Arabidopsis thaliana: one gene and its partners. The protein of the gene in region 1 interacts with the protein of each later gene in a biochemical or structural test. Each region holds a gene or a part of one and is shown on either strand. Other genes may lie near its edges. The genes, in order: AKR2, TOC33 and TOC64-III.

The links.
Region 2: the proteins of AKR2 (region 1) and TOC33 form a complex in vitro, tested with the Arabidopsis thaliana proteins (one study listed by BioGRID).
Region 3: the proteins of AKR2 (region 1) and TOC64-III form a complex in vitro, tested with the Arabidopsis thaliana proteins (one study listed by BioGRID).

Annotation. Positions count from the first base shown.
Region 1 is NC_003075.7:16,837,494-16,841,243, reverse strand, and holds the start of AKR2 (ankyrin repeat-containing protein 2), read right to left. Parts: upstream 1,713-3,750; 5' UTR 1,498-1,712; exon of another isoform or gene 1,400-1,497; 5' UTR 1,383-1,399; coding exon 1,346-1,382; intron 1,317-1,345; exon of another isoform or gene 1,250-1,316; coding exon 1,116-1,249; intron 1,035-1,115; coding exon 822-1,034; intron 728-821; coding exon 579-727; intron 513-578; coding exon 326-512; intron 197-325; coding exon 104-196; intron 1-103. Other genes in the region: CLC-E (chloride channel E), read left to right, coding at 1,899-2,586, 2,680-2,883, 2,965-3,428, 3,598-3,750. UniProt on the Arabidopsis thaliana protein: Exhibits chaperone activity toward chloroplast outer envelope membrane, mitochondrion outer membrane, endoplasmic reticulum membrane and peroxisomal proteins, by recruiting specific proteins containing a single transmembrane associated with an AKR2A-binding sequence (ABS) and subsequently binding glycolipids (e.g. monogalactosyldiacylglycerol (MGDG) and phosphatidylglycerol (PG)) present in the membrane of the target organelle.
Region 2 is NC_003070.9:448,786-452,535, forward strand, and holds the start of TOC33 (translocon at the outer envelope membrane of chloroplasts 33), read right to left. Parts: upstream 1,642-3,750; 5' UTR 1,576-1,641; intron 1,474-1,575; 5' UTR 1,462-1,473; coding exon 1,366-1,461; intron 1,262-1,365; coding exon 1,154-1,261; intron 1,054-1,153; coding exon 929-1,053; intron 705-928; coding exon 440-704; intron 339-439; coding exon 270-338; intron 189-269; coding exon 27-188; intron 1-26. Other genes in the region: AT1G02290 (uncharacterized protein), read right to left, coding at 1,861-3,192. UniProt on the Arabidopsis thaliana protein: GTPase involved in protein precursor import into chloroplasts. Seems to recognize chloroplast-destined precursor proteins and regulate their presentation to the translocation channel through GTP hydrolysis. Binds GTP, GDP, XTP, but not ATP.
Region 3 is NC_003074.8:6,145,849-6,149,598, reverse strand, and holds the start of TOC64-III (translocon at the outer membrane of chloroplasts 64-III), read right to left. Parts: upstream 1,694-3,750; 5' UTR 1,570-1,693; coding exon 1,367-1,569; intron 817-1,366; coding exon 664-816; intron 531-663; coding exon 406-530; intron 53-405; coding exon 1-52. Other genes in the region: AT3G17950 (uncharacterized protein), read right to left, coding at 2,430-2,996, 3,220-3,288. UniProt on the Arabidopsis thaliana protein: Chaperone receptor mediating Hsp90-dependent protein targeting to chloroplasts. Bi-functional preprotein receptor acting on both sides of the membrane. Not essential for an efficient import of pre-proteins into plastids.

The DNA of each region.
Region 1 (3,750 bases):
ATTGAATGATTATAAAGATTCTTAACTTCACAGCTACTGAAAAAAAGAGAACCATCTAAATCCGAATATTTAATTGCCGTGAATTGATAAGAGAATTGCATACCTCGCCGTATCCACAAGCAAAATGCAATGCTGTCCTTCCTTCAGAATCTTCTTCATCTTTGTTACCACCAGATGCCAAGGCAGCTTTCAAACCCTAATGAATCAACGAATAAAAATCCAATAACGAGTTCAACAAAACAAAACTTGGAACATCTAATTCCTCAAGCAACACGCAAGATAAATCTCACATGGTCAAGCATATTAACGTAGGAAGCAGTCTAACCTCAACATCACCAAGACTGGCAGTTTGGTGAACAATAGACTCTTCTTCTTCACCTTCTTCTGCTACCTCAGGTTCAGCTGAAACAGTCTGGTCTGGTAAGCCAGCAACAGGCATACCCATTGCTTCACCCAGCTTTTTCAGCACTTCTGGATCATTCCAGTACCTAAAACAGAATAAATAATTCTTCCTTCATAAACAGAAACAAACTCTACAGTTTCTCTAAAAAACATTGAAAGAAGTTTGTATCACTCACTTCATCATGGCAGAAGGACCACCAGCATCAATCTCATCTAGTATAGGTTTCAACTCTGGATCTTCTTTCATCCGCGCCATACGCTCAGTAAAGTGTTCTGCTGTTTCAGGATTCGAGAAAGCATCCAAAAAAGGAGACATTTGTGGATCCTGTAGGCAAAAAAAATAAATAAAATCAGATAAGACACAGAGCTTCATTCAAAGCCACACCTCGATTAGATGGAAAAAGTCATCAATTCCTAACCTGAACTAAGGCGGTACCAAGTTTCTCGGCCATTGTCTTAAACTCAGGGTTATGCATAACCTGTTGCATTGTATTGACATACTGTTGAGGATCAAAGTTAGGGAAACCACCTTCCTGGCCAGCGTTAGGAATAGATCTCTGAAGCTGCTCAGCCAATTGGTTAAACGCAGGATCTTTAGCTATTTGCTCAGCCATTTCTCTGATGCTAGGATCCTACAAAAAAAACCATTATCAATTAAAAAAAAACTCAAAGAAGATAACTTTTCAATTGTGCTAACAGCAAAGGTAACTTACGTTGAGAATACTAGCCATATTAGAGAAATCAAAAGCATTGAAATTCAAGCCAGGCATAGCTGATGAAGTTGAACTCCCAGAAGCTGATTCCGGCTTAGAACTCTTATTCTCCTCCGTCGATTTGGGTTTCTCATCTACAGTAAACAAATTACAATGAACCAATAACCAAATCTGACTAGAAACGATTCATTATCGCAGATCAGATTGTATACTGAGAAGAAAATAATCACCTGAAAGAAGAGGATTTTTCTCCGAATTGGAAGCCATTAAGTATGACTAAAACCCTACAAAAAACACAATTTTGTTTTCAGGAAAAGGTGTAAACAAGAGATTCAACGAAAATAAGCGAAGAGGAAGACAAAGAAATCGAATCGACAACTACCTAAGAGAATTTAGTAAGAAAAGGAAGAAGAAGAAGAAATTAACCCGAAAAGACAATGTTGTGGTGGCAAACGCTCATGAAACTTGAAATACAGATAATCTTTCTTTTTTTTAATATGACGACAAGAGAAAAATTATTTATTTATCAGCTGGATTTTGGATTGAGAAGAAGATCAACTGCGAGGGACAACAGCCACTGCTTCTCCATTGAAGTTTGAACCTAAAGCTAAGAGGCCTTTTATTTTTAATCAAATTTATTGTTATTGGCCCATATAAACCTGTTTACCTCAAGGCCCAAGCCCATGCGTTTGAATAATAAGATCAGCCACGTAAGATTTGTGATTTAAGATCAAATTATCCGTTAATGGATAAACACGCGTCACTTCACGGAAGCAGCCGTTCATGGCAGCCACGCTTCCACTCTGTGCTGCCCTCCGATCTCCCGTCTCTTCCCGGAGATTCGCTCCAATTCACAAAACCGACGTTCCTTTTCAGTTCAATGTCGTCCTTTCACCGTTTTTCGGTTCCGTCGCTATTGGCGGTAGAATTTTCCCGCGTTTACCGGCGGCGAAGCAGGAGACTGATCAGGATGAGGTTGGATTTGATCAGCAGCCGTCTCAGGAGCTTGCGATAGCGTCGGCTTGTTTGGTTGGTGTTCTCACTGGAGTTAGTGTGGTTCTATTCAACAACTGTGTTCACTTGCTTCGAGACTTTTCCTGGGATGGGATTCCTGATCGTGGAGCTTCGTGGCTTAGAGAGGCACCGATCGGTTCCAATTGGTTGCGTGTTATCCTTGTTCCGACTATCGGCGGTTTGGTGGTGAGCATCCTCAATCAGCTTCGAGAATCTGCTGGAAAATCTACTGGAGATTCTCATTCTAGTCTCGATCGCGTAAAGGCAGTGTTGCGTCCTTTCCTTAAGACTGTTGCCGCATGTGTGACGCTTGGGACTGGAAATTCGCTGGGGCCGGAAGGTCCAAGTGTTGAAATTGGAGCGTCAATCGCTAAAGGTGTGAATTCTCTGTTCAATAAAAGTCCTCAGACTGGCTTCTCACTTCTTGCCGCTGGCTCAGCTGCTGGCATTTCCTCTGGTTTGTTCATCTGATATTTGCTAATGTTGTTCTCTCTTGCGTATGGAACTCTTGATTGATTCGTTAAGAGGACTTTGTTATATGTTGTTACAGGGTTCAATGCAGCTGTGGCTGGATGCTTCTTTGCAGTTGAATCCGTTTTGTGGCCTTCTTCATCAACTGATTCATCAACTTCACTTCCAAACACAACTTCTATGGTTATTCTTAGTGCTGTTACTGCTTCTGTGGTTTCCGAAATCGGTCTCGGCTCTGAACCTGCGTTTAAGGTTCCTGACTATGACTTCCGCTCTCCTGGAGGTAATATGCATTGCCATTCTTATGCTTTTTACGCAAGGGAACCAGAAACCAAACTTATGAGAGCTGGTCACTGATTTTCAGAACTTCCACTCTATCTTTTATTGGGCGCTCTGTGTGGCTTGGTCTCGTTGGCATTATCTCGATGTACATCATCCATGACATCTGCTGTTGACAGTCTTAACAAGGATGCTGGGATACCAAAGGCTGTATTTCCTGTAATGGGTGGATTAAGTGTTGGTATCATAGCTTTGGTATACCCTGAAGTATTATACTGGGGTTTTCAGAATGTGGATATTTTGTTGGAGAAACGTCCATTTGTGAAGGGTCTTTCAGCTGATCTTTTGCTTCAGCTGGTAGCGGTCAAGATAGCTGCAACCGCATGGTGTCGGGCTTCTGGACTTGTCGGTGGATACTATGCTCCTTCTCTCTTTATTGGCGGGGCAGCAGGAATGGCCTATGGAAAGTTTATTGGACTTGCTTTGGCTCAGAACCCTGATTTCAATCTCTCTATCTTGGAAGTGGCATCTCCACAAGCTTATGGTCTGGTACTGTTCTTATGTGGTCAATGTTTCAAAATTGTCTTAATTTCAGACTTTCTTGATTGGTTACCTATCAATACTTTGAACAGAATATTTTTTCGGGTTAACTGAGAATGGATGCTAGTTTTTTTGTAGCTTCATTGCCAATGATCCTGTTTGTCTCATTGTTTAACAGGTTGGAATGGCTGCTACACTTGCGGGGGTTTGTCAAGTTCCTCTTACAGCAGTACTACTGCTATTTGAACTTACACAGGATTATCGTATAGTGTTACCTCTACTGGGAGCTGTAGGCATGTCTTCATGGATTACATCTGGACAATCAAAGAGA
Region 2 (3,750 bases), on another chromosome or scaffold:
TAAATCAAACTGTGTCTCTTTCTTACCTGAGCGCCTATGATAAGAGGGATGAGTTTCTTTCCTTTATCATCAGAGTAAGATCCATCTACCATCTTCTTGTCTACATGAATTGCTTTCCTCTGGTTTGTTGCTACATCAGTTATCGCCTTAACCAAGTTCGGGATCCACGCTTCACCATTTGGAAGAGCCTGAACCGAGAGCAGGTAAGCAACTTTTAACAGTCAGTCTCTCTCCAAGTCGGATCAAATCAGAGATTCGAAAACACAAACCTTTTCGTCCTTATCGTTCTTGCTGCATCTTCCGCTGTTCTCTGCATAGACTACCGCGATTGCAGAATCCTACAAGCCAGTAAAGAATGAAACTGATTCTTGCTACAATGAACCAAACATACATTGGTATAACAATTTTCGGAGACAGGTATATGTATAAATAACCATACCTCAAACTCTTGTTTTCGCATCTTAGAACCAGCCCGGATAGTTTTGAGGAGAGAATCTGATCTCTTGGAGGAAAAAGTTTCGTAGGAAAGTTCATCGGGAGGGGAAAATTGAGCATGAGTCAGAACAAGCAAGGTTTTGCACCATATCTCTTTTCCAAAGGTTTGGGTGATTGCTATAACAACTTGCTTATCTAGCTCATCGACTCTATACACATCCAAACGATCAACATAGAGCAAGACATCTATTGTTCTGTTCACAAGAAACCTGTCCAAAATCCGAGAAACACAACAACTATCGTAAAACTTCCACACACACTCCAATATACAGCTTCAGCGTAAACCAGATACTCATAATTCACAATTTCAACAGAAACCCACAAGTAAACATGTTAACCACATATATACTTAGCTTAATTAATTCAAAAACGAATGAGATAATCCTATATGCAACAATCAACGAAGAGATATTCCAAAAGAGTAGCTACTGACCCTTTGATTAACTCGAGAGCTTGGTGATTGACATATCCAGCTTCCACAAGTCCAGGGGTGTCAATAATGTTGATAGTGAACCCTCCCATTGTTCTTGAAACCATCACTGGTCTCAATCCTTCAGCCTACAAAATCAACAAAACAGAGCCATCAAATATCTTGAAATGACTACTCTTTCTTAATCCAAATTAAAAAAATCAAGCTTAGGGAAACTGAATTACGTACTTGGAAAGGACTGACACGGACGACTTGTTCGCCGATAAGAGAATTGACAGTGGATGATTTTCCGACACCGCCTTTACCCAGAACAAGAACTGTCATTGAGTTCATATCCTGCAATTACAAAAACCTCCCATCATTATCTCCTAATCACAACGGAGAATCCGAGAAACCGACTTAAGCACCAAAGAAACAGGAACAACAACAACAAAACACACCTTTTGCTTCAATTTTCCGAAGAATTCAATCAGCTTTTCCTGGGTAGCTGCTGGAAATTGCTGAAACCCAACCCATTCACGAACGAGAGACCCCATCACTCCTAAACCCTTCAGCAAAAAAATTCTTTTGGTAAATAATCGCTGAGTGATGACGATGATGATAATTAATTTCGAAAGCGATAACGTTTTGGGAGATTTGGAGGAGCTTACCGTTGTGTGAGGAGCGTTTGAGGTTTTTGGAAGAAGCTCTCTCGATGTGTTCCGCAGAGAAAAGCTAAAGAATGTGACCTTATCGGTAATTTGTTTAATAGTTCAAATTATTTTCACTTTTACTCCTCTATTTCTTTAGTGTTTCTTTTTAGTGCCTTCAAATTTTGAAAACTAACAAACTCAACCCCAAACCAAATCCAGTTACCAAGTTGCAGCATTACACTTCATATTTTCATGGAAGACTACATTAGGTGGAACATTGAATTAGCATAGCGTCACGGGAGCTCAAGCGATTCTCTGAACCTTTCTTCGCTTGTAAGTCAAGGAAAACAAATGGTCACTATTGGCTTCTCGAGCATGATTGTCTTCGCTCAGGACCCCCAGCGGTTTTCTCAGAGCCTTGGCTTCCCTCTGAAAGTTATTACTAGACGAAATCCTCTTGCTCTCTGTTGTTTCAGAGCCTCTGTCAACAGTCCTAGGCTTAAAACCAGGAGACTTCAGGTGGTACCGGACATATTCTTCTTGCTTTAGAGGTATATTCTGTTCTGTGATGGAGTAATTTGAAACACGGAGAGCACTGGGAACAGTGTGTGTTGGATCATGAAACACCGGTTCTGTACCTTGGATTGATCTTTGTGTAGTTTCCAAATAGGTTAAGAAAGGGTCTGGGATAGAACAGCCAAGAGTTCCGTAGGGTGGTTTCTCAAATGTCGTACCTAAGTATGGAGACGCTGCAAATCTAGTACTCTTTGAACCGGTTTCATGGATTTGCAGGAGATTGTTTCCTGGAGCTACATAGGGTTTCCTGAGGATGGCAGAAGAAGATTTAGGGACTAATTTGAGAACACCCTTTGGCAAAGTCTGATGATGATGGCCAGCAGAAACTAAGCTGGAACCTTGATACCGGAATACTCCTTCCTTGGTTATCTTTATCTTGAGACTGTTCTTGGAGCTGCCACTGCGAGGGAAGGTTAAACTTTTCGATCTATTTCTTTCCACGGGTTTCACTACATTGGGAGTTTTGAATCTACATGTAGCACTATCCATTTCCTTAGATGGAACTCTATTGAGGTCCAGTAGCTTGAGATTACCGGTTTGAGTTCGTCCTGACCAAATGAGGAGCCTTGAGTAATTGCCCAATTTATTTCCATACTGAACCCACACCCTTTGCATTTCGGTAAATGTCCTGATCAGCTTTTCATGATAGAACTTTAAAGAGTAGTAATACTTTCTCCTCTTGACAAACATAACACCTTCTTTGAAACAAGCTACCTTTGGAGTAAACAATCCACCTAGCAAATTCTTGTAAAACTTATCCTCTGGATTCCCAAAATATAAATTGGCACCATCAAGAAGTTCCTGCATCGTCAAACTGAAAGTCTGTGGATCCATATCTGGCAGAAAACATGAGAGGAAGAATCTTTCTTCTTCAGTCAGAAGTGAGTTCCAAGTCTCAACAGACAATATTCCCGTTAAATCTGGTAGATCGTAGAGCTCGTATGGTATGTTACAGAGCTGACCTTCAACCAAAGCTAGCTCACAGTTTACTTGCGCAATGTCGTAATCATCAGAGTCATCATCTTCAGAGTCTAGCCCAACTGTTTGATTCTTATTCATCTGTAGTTAACCACTTACTACCCTTAAAACACAAGTACTTCAAATCTCCAACCACAAACTCAGTAGAAAGGAACACAAGCAGGAGATACCTAGATAGAAAATGTTAAAGACTCATCATCAGCAATTCACATTACAAGAATTCTACTACAATACAATGGACAGCGAGAAGCTGAGTATGTTACTAATCAGAAATCAAACGAACATAAATAGCATTTTACTCACTGATTTCAGCAACAACAACACTAAAGGCTATATAAAACACGAAATATACATTGTGAGATCAATGAAGCACTCAAAAAGAAGAAGATACACAACACCAGAAAATCTCCCAGATCGGATCAGCTACAAAGCTTAAACGTAATCGATCGCGAACTCAATCAATAACCAAAATCAAAAGCTCCAACAAGGCAAATAACTAGAGAGCGAAAACCCTTGGATTTGACAACAAAAATGTGCAGACAATTTGAATAAAAAACAAGTATCATACAAATCTCAGCACAAATCAGCTCCAATGAGTTTCAAAAACCTACCGGAACTAATAAAAAAAAAGAATCTCGA
Region 3 (3,750 bases), on another chromosome or scaffold:
AGAACGCCACAGTATCCAGCAGGCACTCTTACCCCGCCAACTGTGTCGATGCCTGCAAAGATGCAAGTAATCAAAACTATACTCTGAAAACAATTGAAACCGAACCAACCAGTAGACAGTTGAAATTTTAGATACTGATAGGAGGAGCCAATGACAGACTACCATATAAATTATAAATCCGCATGGAACTATCTTACCATATAGCCATAAGAGTCTAAATCAAGCAATTCTATTAGATGCCAAATAAGTTTCTGCAATATAAATAAATTATCAATCGTTTCAGAAATTTTCTAAGGAAGATTATTGACCATGTTTTGAAAGTTTATGCAATGTTTTGTTTCTCAAAGATACGGTTATCTCATACCAAATTGTCCAAACAAGGAAAAAAGTAGCTACTGAACTCACCTAGAGCAAAATCCACAGCATTTGTTGCTACGGCTACAGCAGCTCCACTGCAAGCGCCACCAGGAATACGAGTAGGAGCTGCAGGATTTGTAGGTGAATCGTAATGCTTGTTTTCTCCACTAATACTGAAGAAAATGAAAACAGCCAAACAAAGGAATTAATATACTAACATCCTGATAAAATAAAAATTTCAACACTGGAATCACAATCTGAATCCTGATACAGGTAACAATTTAACATTATGAAACAGAGACAAACCTAAACGCAAACTCATCAACTACAGTTTTTCCAACACAAGTGGCTCCACCTTCAACGAGAGTTGAAACCACAGGAGATGTTGACGAAGCAGCTTCATGGGTCCTGACCCAGTCTGGATGACCAAATCCAGTCACATACCCTGTAATATCGAATCTGGAAAACAAATGAAAAGGAAAGAAAGAGTAAATTAGCTTTTCAAGAACTTCAAAAGTCAAAAGATCATAGAAGAGAATGAGAGATATACACAGATTAGATAAATAGTCAATCAACATGTTGAGACAGTTATAAGTAGGACTCCATGAATAAGTCGAGGTCAAACTTGGTGACGAATCTAAAACATACAAACACCTAGCAACAGAGATCAAACAGTAGAGCCTTCCAATGAACAGATTCAACAAGTATCGATTTGAAATGAGTTTGACAAAACTAGCAGACACACACACACACACACACACATTTGAATCTACAACAAACACAATTTTCAGTGAAACGGCTCAAAATCAATCAACCATACTTTCGAAAGCTCAGAATCAGACATGTAGTGCGCCGGAGAAGATTACGAGTCGAGTCAACGCAGATTCCAACATTTGTCAAACAAAATTTTGACTCTACCCAAGGAAAAAATCATTCAGCTAAACCCCCAAATATAGATATGATAAACATATGGGAGAAGAAAGGGGGAAACAAGTCAACGGAGACTCACACGTCGGAAACGGCAAAGGTTAGACCGGTGAGAGGATGAGGAGCTTTGGGAGGAGCAGGTTGCGGAGGGGGAAGAAGCATGAGTTTATCGATAAAAGCGCCGAAATCTTCACGGACGGTCTTCTTCAGCTTTTTGGTAAGCATAAGAATCCCAGCGAGACCTAAACCTAGAAGAACCCAGAGATTCGCAGCTTGAGACGCCATCGGTGACGTTTTTGTTCTAGCTGCTGCTGCTGCTGCTTAAGATAAGAGAGATAGACCCTAAGGAGAAGGACGCCAAAGAGTTTTTGTTTAGTGTGTTGCGTTCCCTTTGAGTTTTTATTCTTTTTCCTTCTTCCTTTTTTTAACATCACTCGAGGGTTTATTTTATTTTCGTTTTGTCAACAGTTTTTTATTCACGTTGTAAAACAAAAAATTAATTTTATTAATTGTTTCTTGTTTTTACAGTTTATTTTATTAATTCAATTGGTATAAAATATGGATACACATAACAAACATTTTGCCGTATTTTCGGTTTCTTGTGTGTGTCCACTTGTTCGATAATTTTGCTTCGTCGTTAGGAATCTTCTCCTCTTATGTTATGAGGATGATTTGTGGTTAATTGTTTTACTTTCAGAAATACTAGTGGAAAATTAACCACGAATGTGGCACACTCCTGGCCAGAATCATATTGTGTTTGCCTCAAAATCTGATTTGGTCAAATTATTGTCCAAAGACTGACTAGTATAAAGACGTATTGATGAAATAATTTGAAGCAAAAACTCAATATGATAGAACAACGTTTAGCATTTTAAATAAAAACTCTAATCAAGTGAACAACTCCATTTTACACCAAAAGCTGTGCATGTGTGCCATTCTATATGCTTATCTTTTACTATTGCCATTGTAATTAATCTCCTTCATAATTCTCCTTATCAATCATTATTATTTCTCAAATAATTACTTTGACAATGACTACATTCAACATGTTATATTTTCCACAAACAATGATTCCGATTCGACGAACAAAATACAAAAATTTAAGTCTAAATACAAATAAAAGACACACACATGAACCGACGTATTCATCCTCCACCACCGCTGCATATACCGGTTAAAGATACCGGAAATCTACAAAGGGACGTGGCTACCGGCGTTCCTTCTCCGGTAACCACTTCAGCTGAAGCCGGAGGAAGAACCCTTCCGTCAGCGAACAATGCCCGCTCCCCCATCACCGGCTGCTGATCTTGGTACCGTGCCACCACCGCATCCTCTAGCTCTGCCTCGGCGGAGTTGTAAACGGCTTCATCTCCAAACCTCCGTTCCACCTCTAGATACTCCCCGAGCGATGACCGCTTTGAATCTCCTGTTCCACGGTGGATTCCATTTCCGGCGGCGTCGTCATCGTCATCTCGGCAAAACCGCCACCATTTACGGCGGCGATGCGGCTCAGGCTCAGCCGAATTTGAAGGAGGACGCTTTCTCTGGTGGTTGCGTCTTGCATTGGAGCTAGAAGCTCGTGAGATTGCGACGGAAGGTGACACGTGGCGGCGTGAAGAGGCTCTAAATGGCATCGGCATAGTTGCAGTGAAACTAAATCCCATAAGCGTTCCAAGTGTGATGCTTCTGTCATGGAAGAACGATCCTGTTGACTAAATCCTCACATCACCAATAAAAAAACCAAATCAAGTTCTAACAAGTACATATATATGTTTCTGGGCAGTTCTGAAAACATAACCTTTGGAACTTTAAACTAGTTTTCTAATTAAAGGTTGATACTTTATAGCATAAAGCTTTATGGGTAGCTTAGAAAACACATGAAGAGCTTGATCTTTAATTAGATTATCTATTAAGTATAAGATTGCAGGAACTGACCTCAGTATCAAGATCGGAGGAAGAGACGGAGGAGATAGTTGGAGAAGATGGGACATGAGGATCTTGCATCTCTGTAATCGCTGGTTTCAAAGGGTTTGAAGATGTGGGAGATTGTGTCACTGAATTAAAACGAACGACGTCGGATTAGGGAGTTTCTTGATGAGAGGAAAAGGAAAGTGTTTTTGTGGATGGATAGGTGAAGAAGAAGAAAGTGACAAATGATTTGCTTTTTGAAATGATTGTGCTTCTTTAAGCTAAAGTCCTCTTGGCCATCTGTTACACTATTTCTTTCCATGTCTCAGAGAGCTTTGATATTTTTGATAAATTTGATTTAATTGTTTCTAGTTATGGGAATAATCAAAATCCTTTACAGAGACATTTTTTTTGTAAACTTTGGGTAAAAGCTGAGACATGTTGGATGGTAGCAAATTAAAATTTACGAAAAGAGGATAAATTACAACAAAGTAAGCTTTTATAGGTACTATTGATTTTTTCATAGGATACCTGAAAAAGGGTAGAGAAACTACATCT